2 linked regions of the Macaca fascicularis genome follow. The protein of the gene in region 1 purifies or fractionates together with the protein of each later gene. This does not show direct contact. Links are inferred from orthologs where the notes say so. Each region holds a gene or a part of one and is shown on either strand. Other genes may lie near its edges.

Region 1 (8,315 bases):
CAGCACTTTGGGAGGCCGAGGGGACGGATCACCTGAGGTCAGGAGTTCAGGACAGCCTGGCCAACGTGGTCAAACCCCATCTCTACTAAAAACACAAAAATTAGCTGGGTCTGGTGGTGGGCACCCGTAATCCCAGCTACTCGGGAGGCTGAGGCAGGAGCACTCCGGCCTGCGTGACAAGAGCGAAAGTCGGTCAAAAAAAAAAAGCCAGGCACAGTGGCTCACGCCTGTAACCCCAGCACCCAGCACTTTGGGAGGCCGAGGCAGGTGAGTCACCTGAGGTCAGGAGTTCAGGACCAGTATGGCCAATGGGTGGTGAAACCCCATCTCTACTAAAAATAGGAAAATCAGCCAGGTGTGGTGGTGGGCGATTGTAATCCCAGCTACTCAGGAGACGGAAGCAGAAGAATCTCTTGAATCCAGGAGGCAGAGGTTGTAGTGAGCCAAGACCGCACTGGGCGACAAGAGCAGAACTCCGTCTCAAAAAAAAAAATAAATAAATAAAACAGCTTTGTAACAGCCCTCTCCAAATCTCCAAATAGTTTTTAACTGAGCAAGGATTCACATCCAGTTGATTTCCACTTCACACAAAAATGACATATTTAGGAAGTTTCCTCTTATGTGACCAGACATTGGACTATCACTTACCCTTTTGAGGCTTATGTTATCATGTTCATAATTCAGCCGATAGAGAAAAAACCGAGAAACTGTAGAACAGGCTATCCAACTTCCACACGGGGAGATACAGCTGCAGATAATGTTCTCAGGACCCTGGCAATATCAAGAATCAAGATGAACGTACAATTAAACTTCACATAACGAGGTGCACTGGGACATGACGCCTCAAGCTCTTGCCACTCTGGACATATCCACAGATATCTATACATAATCTCGATCCTCGTGTGGTCTGCGTTACTATGATGATTTCAGAGGCAGAGTACCTAAAAGGCGTGGCTTTGATTTCCAAATCCAAGAATGGAGGTCTATTCTTATTTTGGCCTTTTGAATACTTCATAGATAGCCTCATACTATACCCCAACTTCAGAAACCTGAGCAGGGAGGCATTTACTGAAGGAAAGCTCAGGAGGATAGGTGGTTTGAAGTACTTATTTTCTGTTTTGTCTACAACGTTCTGCTTTAAAGACTTCTAAGAAATAGCAAATGAAAAACATTTGGAAGCCAGGTCCGGTGAGTCGTGCCTGTAATCCCAGCACTTTGGGAGGCAGAGGTGGAGGACTGCTTGAGCCCAGGAGTTCAAGATCTGTCTGGGCAACATGGTAAAACCCTGGATCTACAAAAAATTAGCCGGGCATGGTGGTGCACACCTGTAGTCCCAGCTACCCGGGAGGGTGAAGTGGGAGGATCACCTGAGCCTGGGAGGTTGAGGCTGCAGTGAGTCGTGATGGTGCCACTGCTCTCCAGCCTGGAAAACACACTGAGACCCTGCCTCAAAAAGTAAGCAAACAAACAAAAAACCAACCAACTAAACAAACAAAAAAGAATCTGGAGAATAAAGAAAAGTTGAAAGTAACATTTATGTAATTTTTAAAAACTCACAAAACAAAATGTTTTTTTTCATTGTATACGCTTTTGTACTATTTGAGTTTTTAAAAATATGCACATGGCCAGGCGTAGTGGCTCATGCCTGTAATCCCAGCACTTTGGGAGGCCAAGGCGAGCGCATCACCTGCGATCGGGAGTTCAAGACCAGCCTGACCAACCCCGTCTTTACTAAAAATACAAAAAATTAGCTGGGCGTGGTGGCGCATGCCTGTAATCCCAGCTACTCAGGAGGCTGAACCAGGAGAATTGCTTGAACTCAGGAGGTGGAGGTTTCGGTGAGCCGAGATGGCGCCATTGCACTCCAGCCTGGGCAACAAGAGCGAAACTCTGTCTCAAAAACAAATGAATAAATAAATAAATGCACATTATTTTCATAATAATATCAAAAGAAGAGAAACCTATTTCCTGTATACATCCATCTAATAAATCCTCAATGTCCTACTTATAATCACGGGAAACCCAGTCCTGGTGACATAGTCCTTCATTCAAATAGTTTTAGAATTTATACAATTTGTGGTGTAAACTAACCTCAAAATTCAGAATGGGAAAAACGTTCTAGATTTCAGAGCCTAAACAAACTTCCTTACCTTTGTCTTCAGGTGCAGTAAATGATCTGCATTTTTAGAGAGTGGAAGAGTATCCCCATTCTTGCCTGAAACAAGAAACTTCCCTGAGATTTCTCTTATGAAAGAGAATTTGTACATTTTTTTTCTTCTAAAAAGTCACTCCCTGGAAGAATGGAATCTCTATCCGGGAGAAATCAGAAAAATGTAAGCTCACAACTTTTGAGGTGTATATGAAGAGGAAAACAGTGAGTACTTCCTTTGCTTCTACCTCTGATACATCACTAATTCCCTGAAGCTCTATTCCATAGCCAGGCACGCAGGTGGAGTCTGTGTGGCCTCAATTTTAATCCACTGCAAAAGAGAGGACTCACACATTTCCTTAATAGGTCACACAAAAAGGCCACTAGGCTGTCACTCCAATAAGATCCATGTGATCTTCTTTTTCGTACAAGATCATCATTACCCATCATTAAATCTTGTTATTTTCCAACAGCCTGTTTTCTTCTCAGTTACTACACCCTGCAGCGCACCACCACAAGCCATAAACCTTTAAGAGATGATTCAATATCCTACTAAAGATTCTAATACTCTAAATAACTTATTTGCTTTATCTAATGGGTGGGTAAACCATTAGTTAAAATGGACATAAAAGTCTACTTCAGTTTTTCTATAAGCAGAATTCCAACCACAATTCTGATTTCTGGCTTCTCTCTCCAGTTTTCTTATTGAAAAAAACGTGCTCTCATTTTACCTGTTGCAACTGTGGATCCCAGTCGCCAAAGTTCCAAGTGATGAGCAAACTGGAAGAGGAGAAGCTGCCTCTTTTTAGAACAGGAAATGAGACGTCGCTATATCCAAGAATCAAAAAGTTAAAAAATAAGTCAGGGTTATCTACTGCCTCAGTACCAGATACAGCAGCACCACCTTAGCACACTTTTTACTGCTGAAATCCATTTCCTTGACAAATATTTCCTAAGTACTCCCATATACCAGGCACTGCCCTGGGATCTATGAACACAATGATGAATTAAAACATAGCTACTGCTCTCAAGATGCTTCTAAAGGGGTGACACAGAACTAAATCAGCAATAAGACTTTAGTGTGACAAGAATTTTAACACGGCTAAACACAGTATGTACTGAAAACTAAGGAAAGAGGACTTCTAACCTAGACGTGTGGTGGTACACAGAAGTCCAGATGAGGTTCACTGGGAAAGACCAGTCAGGCGAAGGAGGCAGGGCGGAATGCTCTGAGGAGGGCGATGGCATGTGACATAGCTCAAAGGTAAGAGTATTTGCGGGAACAAAAAGACCTTGAGAGTGGCTAGCCTGGGTGGAGGTGCTACAAGCATGAGAGGTGCTACAGGAAGCTAAAGGGCCAGGCCTGGATGGAGACAGGTTCTATAAGACACACTAAGGAAACTGTCTTTATGCTGAAGCCAACAGGGATAATCAAAGGCTTTGAAGCATGCAGCAATGAACAAAGTTGCTTTAAAACAGATCAATGGGCCTGGAGCAGTGGCTCATGCCTGTAATCCCAGCACTTAGGAGGCTGAGGTGGGAGGATTGCTTGATACCAGGAGTTTGAGATCGGCCTGGGCAAGATAGTGAGATCTTGTCTCTATTAAAAATAAATAAAAAATAAAAAAATTAGCCGAGGCTGGGCGCAGTAGCTCACGTCTCTAATCCCAGCACTTTGGGAGGCCGAGGCTGGTGGATCACCTGAAGTCAGGAGTTCGAAACCAGCGGGGCCAACATGGTGAAACGCCGTCTCCACTAAAAATACAACAATTAGCCGGGCGTGGTGGCAGATGCCTGTAATCCCAGCTACTAGGGAGGCTGAAGCAGGAGAATCGCTTGAACCCAGGAGACCGAGGTTGCAGAGAGCCGAGATCACACCACTACACTCCAGCCTGGGCAACAAGGGCAAAGCTCCGTCTCAAAAAAAAAAAAAAAAGAAAAAGAAAAAAAGAAATTAGCTGAGCGTGGTGGCGGATGCCTGTGGTTCCAGCGACTCAGGAGGCTGAGGTGGGAAGACTGCTTGAGCTCAGGAAGCAGAGGTTACAGTGAGCCAAGATCACACCACTGCAATCCAGCCTGGGTGATGGAGCAAGACCTTGTCTCAAAAAAACAAAGACAAATAAAATAAAATAAAATAAAATAAGATCAATGAAGAATAGGCTAGAACGACACAAATGGAAATAAAAGGACATGATTAAGAAGCTACTGTAAAGGAACCCAGATGAGAAAAGACATTGATCCAAACTAGGATGATGCCAGCACAGACAAAGAGAAATGAATGACTCGATTCAAGAGATTATGAGGACTATGTTCAACTTTATCAAACTATATGCATTAAATATGTATGGTTTTTTTTTGTTTTTTTTTTTGTTTTTTTTTTGAGACGGAGTCTCGCTCTGTCACCCAGGCTGGAGTGCAGTGGCCGGATCTCAGCTCACTGCAAGCTCCGCCTCCCGGGTTCACGCCATTCTCCTGCCTCAGCCTCCCGAGTAGCTGGGACTACAGGCGCCCGCCACCTCGCCCAGCTAGCTTTTTGTATTTTTTTAGTAGAGACGGGGTTTCACCGTGTTAGCCAGGATGGTCTCGATCTCCTGACCTCGTGATCCGCCCGTCTCGGCCTCCCAAAGTGCTGGGATTACAGGCTTGAGCCACCGTGCCCAGCCAATATGTATGGTTTTTAATATATCAAATATGCCTCAATAGAGCTGTTGATCGACCGATCGATCAATCGATCTATCTCTACAACATATGTATAAAGATACTCATGAGTAGACTCAATGAGGTTTACTGGTTGAATGAATGGGGCAGCAGGTGTGGGGAGCAAGTTCTCTAGCTTGGGAAGATGGTACCATTTACCTAGAACACTGGAAGCCTGGGTTTTCCTGCTCCCACCCAGAATAGAGCCTACTCTGAAAGACAAACTAACAAAATTCCACAACTAATTGGAAAAGGGAAAAATTCCCCCAGAAACTGAACTAGGTGTGCTGCTGCATATCTCCTACCCCCCATAAATGTCTTTGCAGTGGCTTGCCTCAAAAACAGAAGGAATGAAGAAGGAGCTACAGAAAGTCCTACAATATCTCCATGTCCCAGATGGTTAAAAAAAAAAGGGGGGCTGGGTATGGTGGCTCACGCCTGTAATCCCAGCACTTTGGGAGGCCAAGGTGGCAGTATCACAAGGTCGGGAGATCAAGACCATCATCCCAGCTAACACAGTGAAACCCTGTCTCTACTAAGAATACAAAAAATTAGCCGGGTGTGGTGGTGGCAGGCACCTGTAGTCTCAGCTACTTGGAAGGCCGAGGCAGGAGAATGGCGTGAACCTGGGAGGCGGAGCTTGGAGTGGAGTTGCACCACTGCACTCCAGCCTGGGTGACAGAGTGAGCCTCCGTCTCAAAAAAAAAAAAAAGGCCTACAAGACTGAGCGTGGTGGCTCATGCCTATAATCCCAGCACTTTGGGAGGCCGAGGCAAGCAGATTACCTGAGGTTGGGAGTTCCGAGACCAGCCTGACCAACATGGAGAAACCCAGTCTCTACTAAAGATACAAAATTAGCCAAGTGCGGTGGCACATGCCTGTAATCCCAGCTACTCGGGAGACTGAGGCAGGAGAATCGCTTGAACCCGGGAGGCGGAGGTTGCGGTGAGCCAAGATCACGCCACTGCACTCCAGTCTGGGCAACAAGAACAAAATTCTGTCTCAAAAAAAAAAAAAAAGTCCTACAAATTTGCCAAGCGTGAGCTGTGTTCAGAGCCTTGTGGGACAGGGGGACAAAGGGATGGGGAGATGAGGGGTTGGCAGGGGCTTGGAATGGACACTTACATGGGGAAAGGTGATTTTTCGGAGAGCGGCATCGTAATTCTTTACCTCCACCTTCTCCATGAGAGGACGAATGACTAAGTGGGTGTCAGTGCCTGGTAAAGCAGGGGAGAAGGTGTACAGAATTAGAAGTCGTCCTGCACGAGAACAGCCAGAGCTGGGCAGGGTAAAGCAGCAGCCTCGCCAGGAGGGGAACCCACCTCCAGATATCAGCGCTGTTGGGCTGTGGGCCACAGTGCGCACGTCGTGAGTGTGATGCTGGAACGGTTTTGTCCGCACCCACTGCTTCTCACTGCTGTTAGATGTCACAGGGACCAGCTGAAAATGGAAGACTGTTCCCTCGGCTGTGCCCACCACAAAACTGTCTTCTTGCTGAGGAATTAAATCATGAAGGAGGTACATGTAAGCAAAACAAGGTCTGGTTGGAAAAATATTCCCTGAGGTTTTCTGTCTCAGCAGCTTAGGCGTAAACCTATGCCCAGAATCAGTAGGAAAGTTATAAGGGTCTTTTCCCTCCAGAAGCTAAGGATTCCATCAGAGGAGCAAGCTCAGACACTGGTAACAATGCGCCCCCTACTGACAAAATTAACAACGTCTAGAGTAGGAACAACACAGCAATGCTTCATATATACAACACAGATCTCCTTAGAATAGCACTGAGAGATAAAATACCTAGAACCTATTTGAGAAATTTAAATCCTTCCAAAGATCATAAGAGAAAACCTAAACAAAGAAATCCATAGCATGTTATTTAGTAGGAATATTTAACATGATCAAGTTATTATCACTAAAGAAACGTATTAAACCAATAAAAATACTGACAATCCTTTATTTAGAACTAGAACAGGTGTTTCTTAATAATGTTTATTTCATTAAAAATATCCAAGAAACATCAGTCAGACGTGGTGGCTCACTCTTGTAATCCCAGCACTTTGGGAAGCTGAGTTGGGTGGATCACTTGAGGCCAGGAGTTTGCGACCAGCCTGGCCAACACAGTGAACCCTGTCGCTACTAAAAATACAAAAATTAGCTGGGAGTGGTGGCGCATGCCTGTAATCCCAACTACTTGGACGGCTGAGGCACAAGAATCACTTGAACCTGGGAGGCAGAGGTTGCAGTATGCCAAGATCGCACCACAGCACTCCAGATTGGGCGACAGAGCAAGACTCTGGCTCAAAAAAAAAAAAAAACAAAAACCAAACAAAAAAAAAAAATACAAGAAACACCAATAAGAAAGTTTCTTAAATAAACAAGGTGGGCAGAGCAGCACAAACCTATAGTCCCAGCTACTCAGGAGACTGGGCAGGAGGATCACTTGAGCCCAGAAGTTGGAGACCAGTCTGCACAACACAGTGAGATCTCATCTTTATTTTTTATTTTTATTTCTTGAGACAGAGTCTCCCTCTGTCACCCAGGCTGGAATGCACTGGCATGATCCCGGCTCACTGCAACCTCTGCCTTCTCAGGTTCAAGAGATTCTCCCACCTCGGCTTCCCAAGTAGCTGGGATTACAGGCACACACCACCACATCTGGTTAATTTTTGTTTTTGTTTTTTTTGAGACGGAGTTTCACTCTTGTCGCCCAGGCTGGAGTGCAATGGCACAATCTCAGCTCACTGCAACCCCTGCCTCCTTGGTTCAAGCCATTCTCCTGCCTCAGCCTTCCAAGTAGCTGGGATTATAGGCATGTGCCACCATGCCTGGTTAATTTTTGTATTAGTAGAGACGAAGCTTCACCATATCATCCAGGCTGGTCTCAAATTCCTGACCTCAGGTGATGCACCCTCCTTGGCCTCCCAAAGTGCTGGGATTACAGGTGTGAGTCGCTGCGCACGGGCTTGCATTTTTTTTTTTTCAGTAGAGACACGGTTTCGCCATGTTGGCCAGGCTGGTCTCAAACTCCTGACCTCAGGTGATTCGCCCACCTCAGCCTCCCAAAGTCTCATTTTTAAAAAGAATGAAAGAAATAAACAAGAAAAAAACAAAACAAAACAAAAAAACATAACTCACAACACAAACAAAAAACCCAAACAAGAGTAGTAATGTGGCTGGACATGATGGCTCACATCTATAATCCCGCACTTTCAAAGGCAAGAGAATCACTTCAGCCCAGGAATTTGAGACCAATCTGGGCAACACAGTGACACTGCATCTCTACAAAAAACGTTAAAAACTTAGCCTGGTGGTGCATGCCTGTAGTCCCAGCCACTTGGGAGGCTGAGGTAGGAGGACTGCTTGAGCCTAGGAGGCGGAGGCTGCAGTGAGCTAGGATTATACCATTACACTCCACCTAGGTGACAGAGCAAGACCTTGCCTCAAAAAAAAAAAAAAAAAAAAAGTAACGAAG
Region 2 (8,315 bases), on another chromosome or scaffold:
TTTATTATTGATCATTTTAAATATAATGCCAACAGTATTCCAAGATAAACTCTGAATCAAACCTAAAATTAAATCTAAAAGTAGCAACAGAATTCACTCAGAAAAAGAGAAAGAAAAAACTCAGTCTTGCCCAGGCGCAATGGCTTACGCCTATAATCCCAGCACTTTGGGAGGCCAATGCGGGCAGAACACCTGAGGTCAGGAGTTCGAGACCAGCCTGGCCAACATGGTGAAACCCCATCTCTGCTAAAAATACAAAGATTAGCTGGGTGTGATGGTGTGTGCCTGTAGTACCAGCTACCCAGGAGGCTGAGGCAGGAGAATTGCTCGAACCTGGGAGGCACAGGTTGCCGTGAGCTGAGATCGCACCACTGCACTCCAGCCTGACCGACAGAGGGAGACTCTGTCTCAAAAACAAAAAAACAAACCAAAAACACCCCTCAGTCTATTCTCTACATAGACTCCAAGGAAAGTGATTTTTCTTCCATAAATTACTTGTATTTAGACTTAAAGAACCTACCTCTAAAAATCACACACACACAAATAAAGGTTTAAAACTTTTGGCCAGGCAGGGTGGCTTATGCCTGTAATCCTAGCACTTTGGGAGGCCAGGTGGGCAGATCACTTGAGGTCAGGAGTTAAGACCAGTCTGCCAAACATGGCAAAACCCCATCTCTACTAGAAAAATACAAAAATTAGCCAGGCGTGGTGGTATGCACCTATAGTCCCAGCTACTTGGGATACTGAGGCAGAAGGATCACTTGAACCTGAGAAGCAGAGGCTGCAGTGAGCTGAGATCGTACCAGTACACTCCAGCCTGGGTGACAGAGCAAGATTTTGTCTAAAAAAAATTACAGGCTTATACCTGTAATTCCAGCACTTTGGGGGGCCGAGACAGGCAGATCACTCAAGGCCAGGAATTCGAAACCAGCCTGGCCAACATGGCAAAACCCTGTCTCTACTAAAGTACACAAATTAGCCAGGCGTGGTAGTGCAGGCTGTAATTTCAGCTACTAGGGAGGCTGAGGCAAGAGAACTGCTTGAACCCGGGGGCGGAGATTGCAGTGAGCCAAGACCATGCCACTGCACTCCAGCCTGGGCGACAAAGAGAGACTCTGTCTCAAAAAAAAAAAAAAAAGTTATAGGGGAAAATACCAAAATGTTTCTCATGAGTTCCCTATGATCAGAACGTCCAATCATCAGAATAGTGAGTGCACTGATCACACTGAATATGCACAAGTGTGTCCAACAACTTTATAATAACATTAAATCATTATTGTAATTAAGTGTAGGATTCCTACTAGTTTTCTTTTTTTTTTGAGATGGAGTCTTGCTCTGTTGCCCAGGTTGGAGTGCAGGGGTGCGATCTCGGCTCACTGCAAACGCCGCCTCCCGGGTTCACAGCATTCTCCTGCCTCAGCCTCCCAAGTAGCTGGGACTACAGGCATCTGCCACCACGTCCGGCTAATTTTTTGTATTTTTAGTAGAGACGGGGTTTCACCGTGTTAGCCAGGAAGGTCTCAATCGCCTGACCTCATGATTCGCCCACCTCGGCCTCCCAAAGTGCTGAGATTACAGGTGTGAGCTACTGCGCCTGGCCCCTACTAGTTTTCTTAAAGACAAAAATCTTTATAGGGAATCACTGATGTGATCATCAATGGCCCCCACTTCATATTAGAAAGCCAAGTTTATTAGCAACAGAAGCTGTATATATTCATTTATTTACTTATTTACTGAGACGGGGTCTCACTGTCACCTAGGCTGGAATGCAGTGGCAGGATCACAGCTCACTACAGCTTCAACCTCCCAGGCTCAAGCAATCTTCCCACCACAGCCTCCCAAGTATCTGGGACCACCGGTGCATGCCACCATGCCCAGGTAATTTTTTTATTTTTTGTAGAGACAGGGTCTCGCTATGTTGCCCAGGCTGGTCATGAACTCCTGGGCTCAAGTTATCCACCACACCCAGCCAGAAACAACATTAAACCAAATTTTTTTTAGTTTTAAACCAATGCTTTTTCCCCAAAACACTTTTTCAAAGTATTAAAACATGATGAAAAATGTCTAAATCATCTCTAAATCCTAGAGGTTAATGCAAAATATGCATTTCAAAACTAAACTGAGTTAAAAGTGAAATATCCTTAACTTGCATTAAAAACATGAGATTCTGTGCAAATCAAAATCCTGCAAAGCTTTAGTCAAACAGAAACATCAAGTACTTGAGTGACAACAGGTTTAATCCTTTAATCATCGAATCCCTAATTTTTACATGAAAAATTCTTTTTTTATAGGCAGCAAACAAGAGGACATCATTCTTATAAAATATATACATATATAGGCTGGGTGCAGTGGCTCACACCTGTAATCCCAGCTCTTTGGGAGGCTGAGGCGGTTGGATCACCTGAGATAGGGAGTTCGAGACCAGCCTGACCAACATGGAGAAACCCCATCTCTACTAAAAAATACAAAATTAGCCGGGCATGGTGGCGCATGCCTGTAATCCCAGCTACTCGGGAGGCTGAGGCAGGAGAATCGCTTGAACCCGGGAGGTAGAGGTCGTGGTAAGCCATTGCACTCCAGCCTAGGCAACAAGAGCGAAACTCCATCTCAAAAAAATGTTTTAAAAAAGAGATTTATATGTATATATACATAAATACACACACACACACACACACACACACACACCCCTTAGTTAGGATCTATCACCAACAATTTCATCTGATTAAAGAATAGTATATACATACTCCTAGCAACAAAATCCATCTCAACAACTTTTCTTAATTCACATAACGAGTTCCTGAATTTACTACCGTCCTGTACAAAATTTTCCCTTCCCCCATAAGAGATTATCACAGTGATTTAAGTTCCTTTGAACAGTCTAAATTTTGTTAGTTTGTTGTTACTCCCTCAGGTCCTCTCTCTTTTTCAAGTCATTAAATCATCAAAACCTTGACTGTAAAAATAACATCTGTGAAACCCAAAAACAAATTCTCAAAAATCGAGCCATTTACCTCTTCTTTGTTTTCTGACAAAGTTAAGTCAATATAGACAGGTTCATCGGTAACTGTAAATGACATCACTGCACTCTTTTCTTTGTTTTCTGATCGGACCTGCCTAGATAACAAAACCAGCAATTAGATCGCAAGACAGATTTAATTTTTTTTTTCTAAAAAGGCAAACACCTAAGGGGGCAGGGAGATCGGCACATGAAATTCCCAATAGCTTTGTCATCTTTTGAAAACTGGTAAAGTGACTAAAGATCAAAACAAGGGAAACATCCATGTCACTACCATATAACATGGTTGCTTGAGAAAAGAGAAAGCAATAATGCATTTGTAGCAGATTTAAACAAGAGTAACATTCTGTTCTTTTCTATTGATCTGTTTGTCTACCTTGATACTAACACCACACTATCATGATTAATGCCACTTGATAACAGGTCTTGAAATCAATCTTAGTCCTCCAATGTTTTTCTTCTTTTTCAAAATGATTTTGCCTATTGTCATTTGTATTTCCATTTGAATTTTAGAATCAGTTTGTCAATTTCTCAAACAAAAAAGCCTGCTAAGATTTTGAATGGGTCTGCACTGAATCTGTAGGTCAATTTGGGGAGATTTAACATGATAATGGTATTGAGTAAAGAGCACAGAAACAGACCTATATATACACACGTATACAATTGATTGTCACTATTCATGGATTCCTTATTTGCAAACTCATCTTTTGCAAAATTTTATTTGTAACCTCAAAATCACTGTGACAATTTTATGCTCCTTCAGTCATGTAGACTAGTGAAAAATCGGAGTTGCCTAACACATTCAACGTCTTCAGCTAAGGTAGCTACCTTCTGCCTTCCCATTGCCGTTTTCATACTATCAACAAGTAGTTCAGCTAGTACCATGTTTTTTGCATTTCTGTGCTTTCTTGGAGATTTCACTATTTAAAATGGCCCCCAAGCATACTTCTGAAGTGTTCTATGGTGTTCCTAAGCACAAGAAGGCTGTGATGTGCCTTACAGTGAAAATATGTGTTACATAAGCTTCACTCAGACATGAGTTGTAGTGCTCTGAATTCCAAGTTAATCAATCAAAAACATATGCATTAAATATCTTTAAATAGAAACAAACATAAAACAAGGTTTTATATATTAATGACAAAAATGTTACAAGTTGGCTATCTTTACAATATAAATAATATAAACAAAAAATAAATAGATGACAAAAATGTTATAACTGGAGGCTCACGGGAACCTAATCTTCTATTTCCCAAAGGAGTAATGTTATTGCCTAAATCAGTGTTCATGGGGACTTTATAGGACTTAACAACTATAAATGAGAACTGATATAGGGATAAGAGTGTGGGTGCAGGGATGTGTGGGTGTGTGTAGATGTTCGGGGTTACAGGGGGAGGGGTATATGCAAAACCAAGTCAGCAGAGATAATCTTTTCAACAAATGATACTGGGATCCCTGGATATCCATAACGCAAAAACATGACTCTTAACATCATGAGCCATTAGAGAAAGCCAATTTAACAGCACAAAATACCACTACCCACCTATTAGAATGGCTAAAAGTAAATGCTATACCAAGTGTTGATGAGGATGTGAAGGAATTCCCATTTTCATACACTGCTGGTAAAAATGCAAAATGATACAACCATTTTGAAAAAAAATCTGGTGATGTCTTGAAAAGTTAAATGTACACCTATCATATGATCCAGCCACTGCACTCCTAGGTATTTACCCAAAAGAAATGAAATCACATGTCCATATAAAGACTTGTACACAAAAAATGTCCATAGCAACTTTATTTGTAATGGCCCAAAACCTGTCAACAAGTCTGGAAACTGAGAGGTTACAAGAAGACATGAAGACACGCATTCAACATCTTGTTTGTGGTGAGAGTTTCACAATGTATATGTATGTTACAATTCATCAGTTTGTACATTCTGGTATGTACAGTTCATTACATGTCAACTATACTTCAATATAGCTGTTTTTAAAATTTAGGTACACATTTTTAAAAATAATATATAACAAACATGATTTACAAACATGACTCAAACCAGCTTCTTTGGAGTCCAGAAGAAAATTAAGAGTTGATTTGATGAATTCTAAATGTTTTCATGCAAAAATTCTGAGTAAGATGCACTCTAACATGAAGTCATTCATGTATGTTCAAAATCTCTGCCATCAGACCACTATACACAGTATCTTAACTAATCAATAGAAGATAGTACTGGGGTTGATCTTTTAATCTTCGCTCAGCAAGAAGCCTTTGCATGTTATGTCCTCACAGAAATGTGTCTTTCAAAGGAAATTATCAGGGAACTTTAGGCCTGCTCTACCTATCCCCACGCAAATTTACAGAGCTCGTTGGGCAGCTTTTCAATATGGTTTTTAATATTTTTCTTTTGTGTGTATGGTTAATTTTAAGTTTATTTCCTTTATACCAAGATACTATTCAGGTTCTTAAGATTAACATAAAGCAACTTTTATTTTATATTATGAAATTTTGTAGCTGGAGACTCCTACGTATGAGGCAGCCTAAGTGGTAAAACATTTGAGATTGTGCAACTCAGTAATGCCAGGGAATGCTGGTAGTAGATTTTAATTTTTTAGTACCACTAATTTCTTATGTAATTGTCAGACCCTCTAAAACTAAAAGAATTTATCTCCATTGGCTCTTCTCAAAAATCAAACACGAAACAGAAAACCAAATCTGTTTAATTATAAGAGTCATAATTAGGAATTATGGCTTTGCTGGTGGTTTTGAAGGTAAACAGAGGCCCACATTTTGACTTATGACCCCCACACAACTACCTTTTTAAGGAATACATATTGGATGAGTCCCACTTCTAATGAGTATTATCTTGTATAAATTCATAGTAATTCTACATGGTGAAGAGCATGCTCAATTAATTATTACTAAGATGAGAAAAGTAGAGATCTAAAAAGATCTCTAATCTCTACTTATTTTGTCTATGAACAGCAGGATGGTTTTTTTTCAAGCCAACTTCACCATCAGATGCTGTAATAAAATCCAGGAAATTTCTAAAAAATTTTTTTGATGACTTTGTATCACTGATTTTTTTTTTTTTTTTTTTTTTGAGACCGAGTCTCTTTCTGTCGCTAGAGTGCAGTGGCGCGATCTCGGCTCACTGCAACCTCTACCTCCTGAGTTAAGCAATTCTCCTGCCTCAGCCTTCCGAGTAGCTGGGACTACAGGTGCGTGCCACCACGCCCAGCTAATTTTTGTATTTTTAGTACAGAGAGGGTTTCGCCATGTTGGCCAGGATGGTCTTGATCTCTTGACCTCGTGATCTGCCCGCCTCGTCCTCCCAATGTGCTGGGATGACAGGCGTAAGCCATGGCGCCCGGCCCGATTTTAACTTTTAAAAGTGGTTTCAAAGGGAACTAGTTAATAGCAGCTACTGCAAAAAGGGGTTACTGGAAATTCTCAGACAGCCAAGGAATTTGTATGCCCTCCATAAACAGACATTACTGCATTAACCCAGTGGTGCCACATATTTCAAAATTAAAGGTCTTTCTAAATTTTTTAAAAGTTATTTCTAAACTGCCCAACCACAAAACTATTCAGTCCACTGTATCACTAAACAAGCACAGGAGGCTTTATTACATAATGCACTTAATTTTTTTCTCAGAAAGATCTGTTTTGTAGACAGGCTCAATTCTTTATTATGACTCAATGTAAATCCAGTATTAGATACAACAAAGTCCCACAGTCATAATTTACATTAACTACATAAGCTCTGACAGATTCTTTCAATGCTACCTCCCAAATCCAAAAGAACTACATACCAGACATTAAGCAACCGGTCATGTACTGCTCCAGATAAGAAATAAAGACCTGTAATTCCATCAAAGGGCTGGCTCTCGTTAGGAGGTCTGATGGTAGTGAACATCAGTGACGAAACTGGCGTTGCATGTCCTGTGAAATGCTAGAGAAAGTTAAATCCCAGTTAGGAGAGCAGATTCAAAGCAGGGACAAAAATTATTAGTATATATGTATCATAAACAAGCCATATGTGATACATATCTGAAAGGAGAGCTTCACAATGAAGTAACTATTAAATTCAATTCTAAGCAAATAAGGTTATTTGTGCTACAATACTCCCACTTCTTAAAAAAATGCATCTGAAAATACTGAAAATTTAGATGTTCCTTCTAACTCCCATGACCCTACCACTCTGCACCTTTATTTCTTACATTCTTGAATTAAAGATTCACTTAATTCTATCCATTTTAAAAGGCGTACACTTAGGTGCTCAGACACAGCCAAGGAATTGTAGGTCCTCATTTTACTCTCAGTGAGTCGAAACCACAATATTAAGGCATCATCACAGCACCAAATGTTCAGTAAGCCCTGAGTGAAAGCTTTTTCCTCCTCCAAAAATGTAATACTAAATCTCCGCAGTCAAATACAGTAAGTAGACTAAATGCTGAATGTAGGCTAGAAATCAAAATTACCATAATCATCACATAGTAAAAAATTTTTTATTAAGAAAATCTTTTTTGAGCTAGGCATGGTGGCAAGTGCCTATATTCCCAGCTGCTCAGGAGGCTGAGGTGGGATGATCGCTTGAGCCTGGGAGGTCAAGGCTGCAGTGAGCTGTGATGGCGTTACTGCACTCCAGCCTGGGCGACAGAGAGAGATCCTGTCTCAAAATCTATTTTGTTTTTTATAAGGTAACTTTTTCTTTTTTGTGGATACACAGTTGGTATATATATTTAAATTTCTTTTAAAATCTTGTTTCTTGAATATTGGTTCTATTCATTTTTCCAATACATTTGAAGTAGACATGTGTAGTCTTTTTAACATCAACAAATCAGATTAGGAGGCTAACTTTTGTCCACTAAACTATTTGATGTACCTCACAATGAAGAATCTGTATTCTTAAAATAATATTTTATGGCTCAAACTTCTGCCTTTCTCCATGTTTACTGTAATTTTTATGCTTACAAATAATTTGATTCACTCACTCTGTAGACTTCTTTGGTCTCCAAAACCCATAGTTTGATTGTTCGACCAGCTGAAAGCAACATCTTTCCATCTGGGCTGATACATAGGGAACTGACACTGCTATTGTCGCCTTTCCATTTGCTATATTGTGAAGAGAAACAAAAGCATCTCAATACATAAGAGAAAACTTTACTCAGAGCAGAAAATAACAAAAAAACAAACTGAGCAATCATTAAAAATATCACCTCAGGTCCTATGACAATTACATTCCCTAAAAGCTTGTGTCAGGTAACTAACCCTGGATATACCACTGTGATAAAACCTCACTGAT

What was found.
Region 2: the proteins of UTP4 (region 1) and WDR43 purify together in Homo sapiens (co-immunoprecipitation; 5 studies listed by BioGRID and IntAct, counting the BioPlex papers as one, with this or other methods). This does not show direct contact. The link is inferred for Macaca fascicularis from reciprocal best matches to the Homo sapiens genes UTP4 and WDR43.

What each region holds. Positions count from the first base shown.
Region 1 is NC_088394.1:65,252,902-65,261,216, reverse strand, and holds part of UTP4 (U3 small nucleolar RNA-associated protein 4 homolog), read right to left. Parts: intron 6,341-8,315; coding exon 6,169-6,340; intron 6,064-6,168; coding exon 5,972-6,063; intron 2,978-5,971; coding exon 2,881-2,977; intron 2,216-2,880; coding exon 2,151-2,215; intron 772-2,150; coding exon 649-771; intron 1-648. UniProt on the Homo sapiens protein: Ribosome biogenesis factor. Involved in nucleolar processing of pre-18S ribosomal RNA. Part of the small subunit (SSU) processome, first precursor of the small eukaryotic ribosomal subunit.
Region 2 is NC_088387.1:93,298,836-93,307,150, forward strand, and holds part of WDR43 (WD repeat-containing protein 43), read right to left. Parts: intron 8,126-8,315; coding exon 8,005-8,125; intron 7,371-8,004; exon of another isoform or gene 7,286-7,370; intron 6,963-7,285; coding exon 6,823-6,962; intron 3,115-6,822; coding exon 3,012-3,114; intron 1-3,011. UniProt on the Homo sapiens protein: Ribosome biogenesis factor that coordinates hyperactive transcription and ribogenesis. Part of the small subunit (SSU) processome, first precursor of the small eukaryotic ribosomal subunit.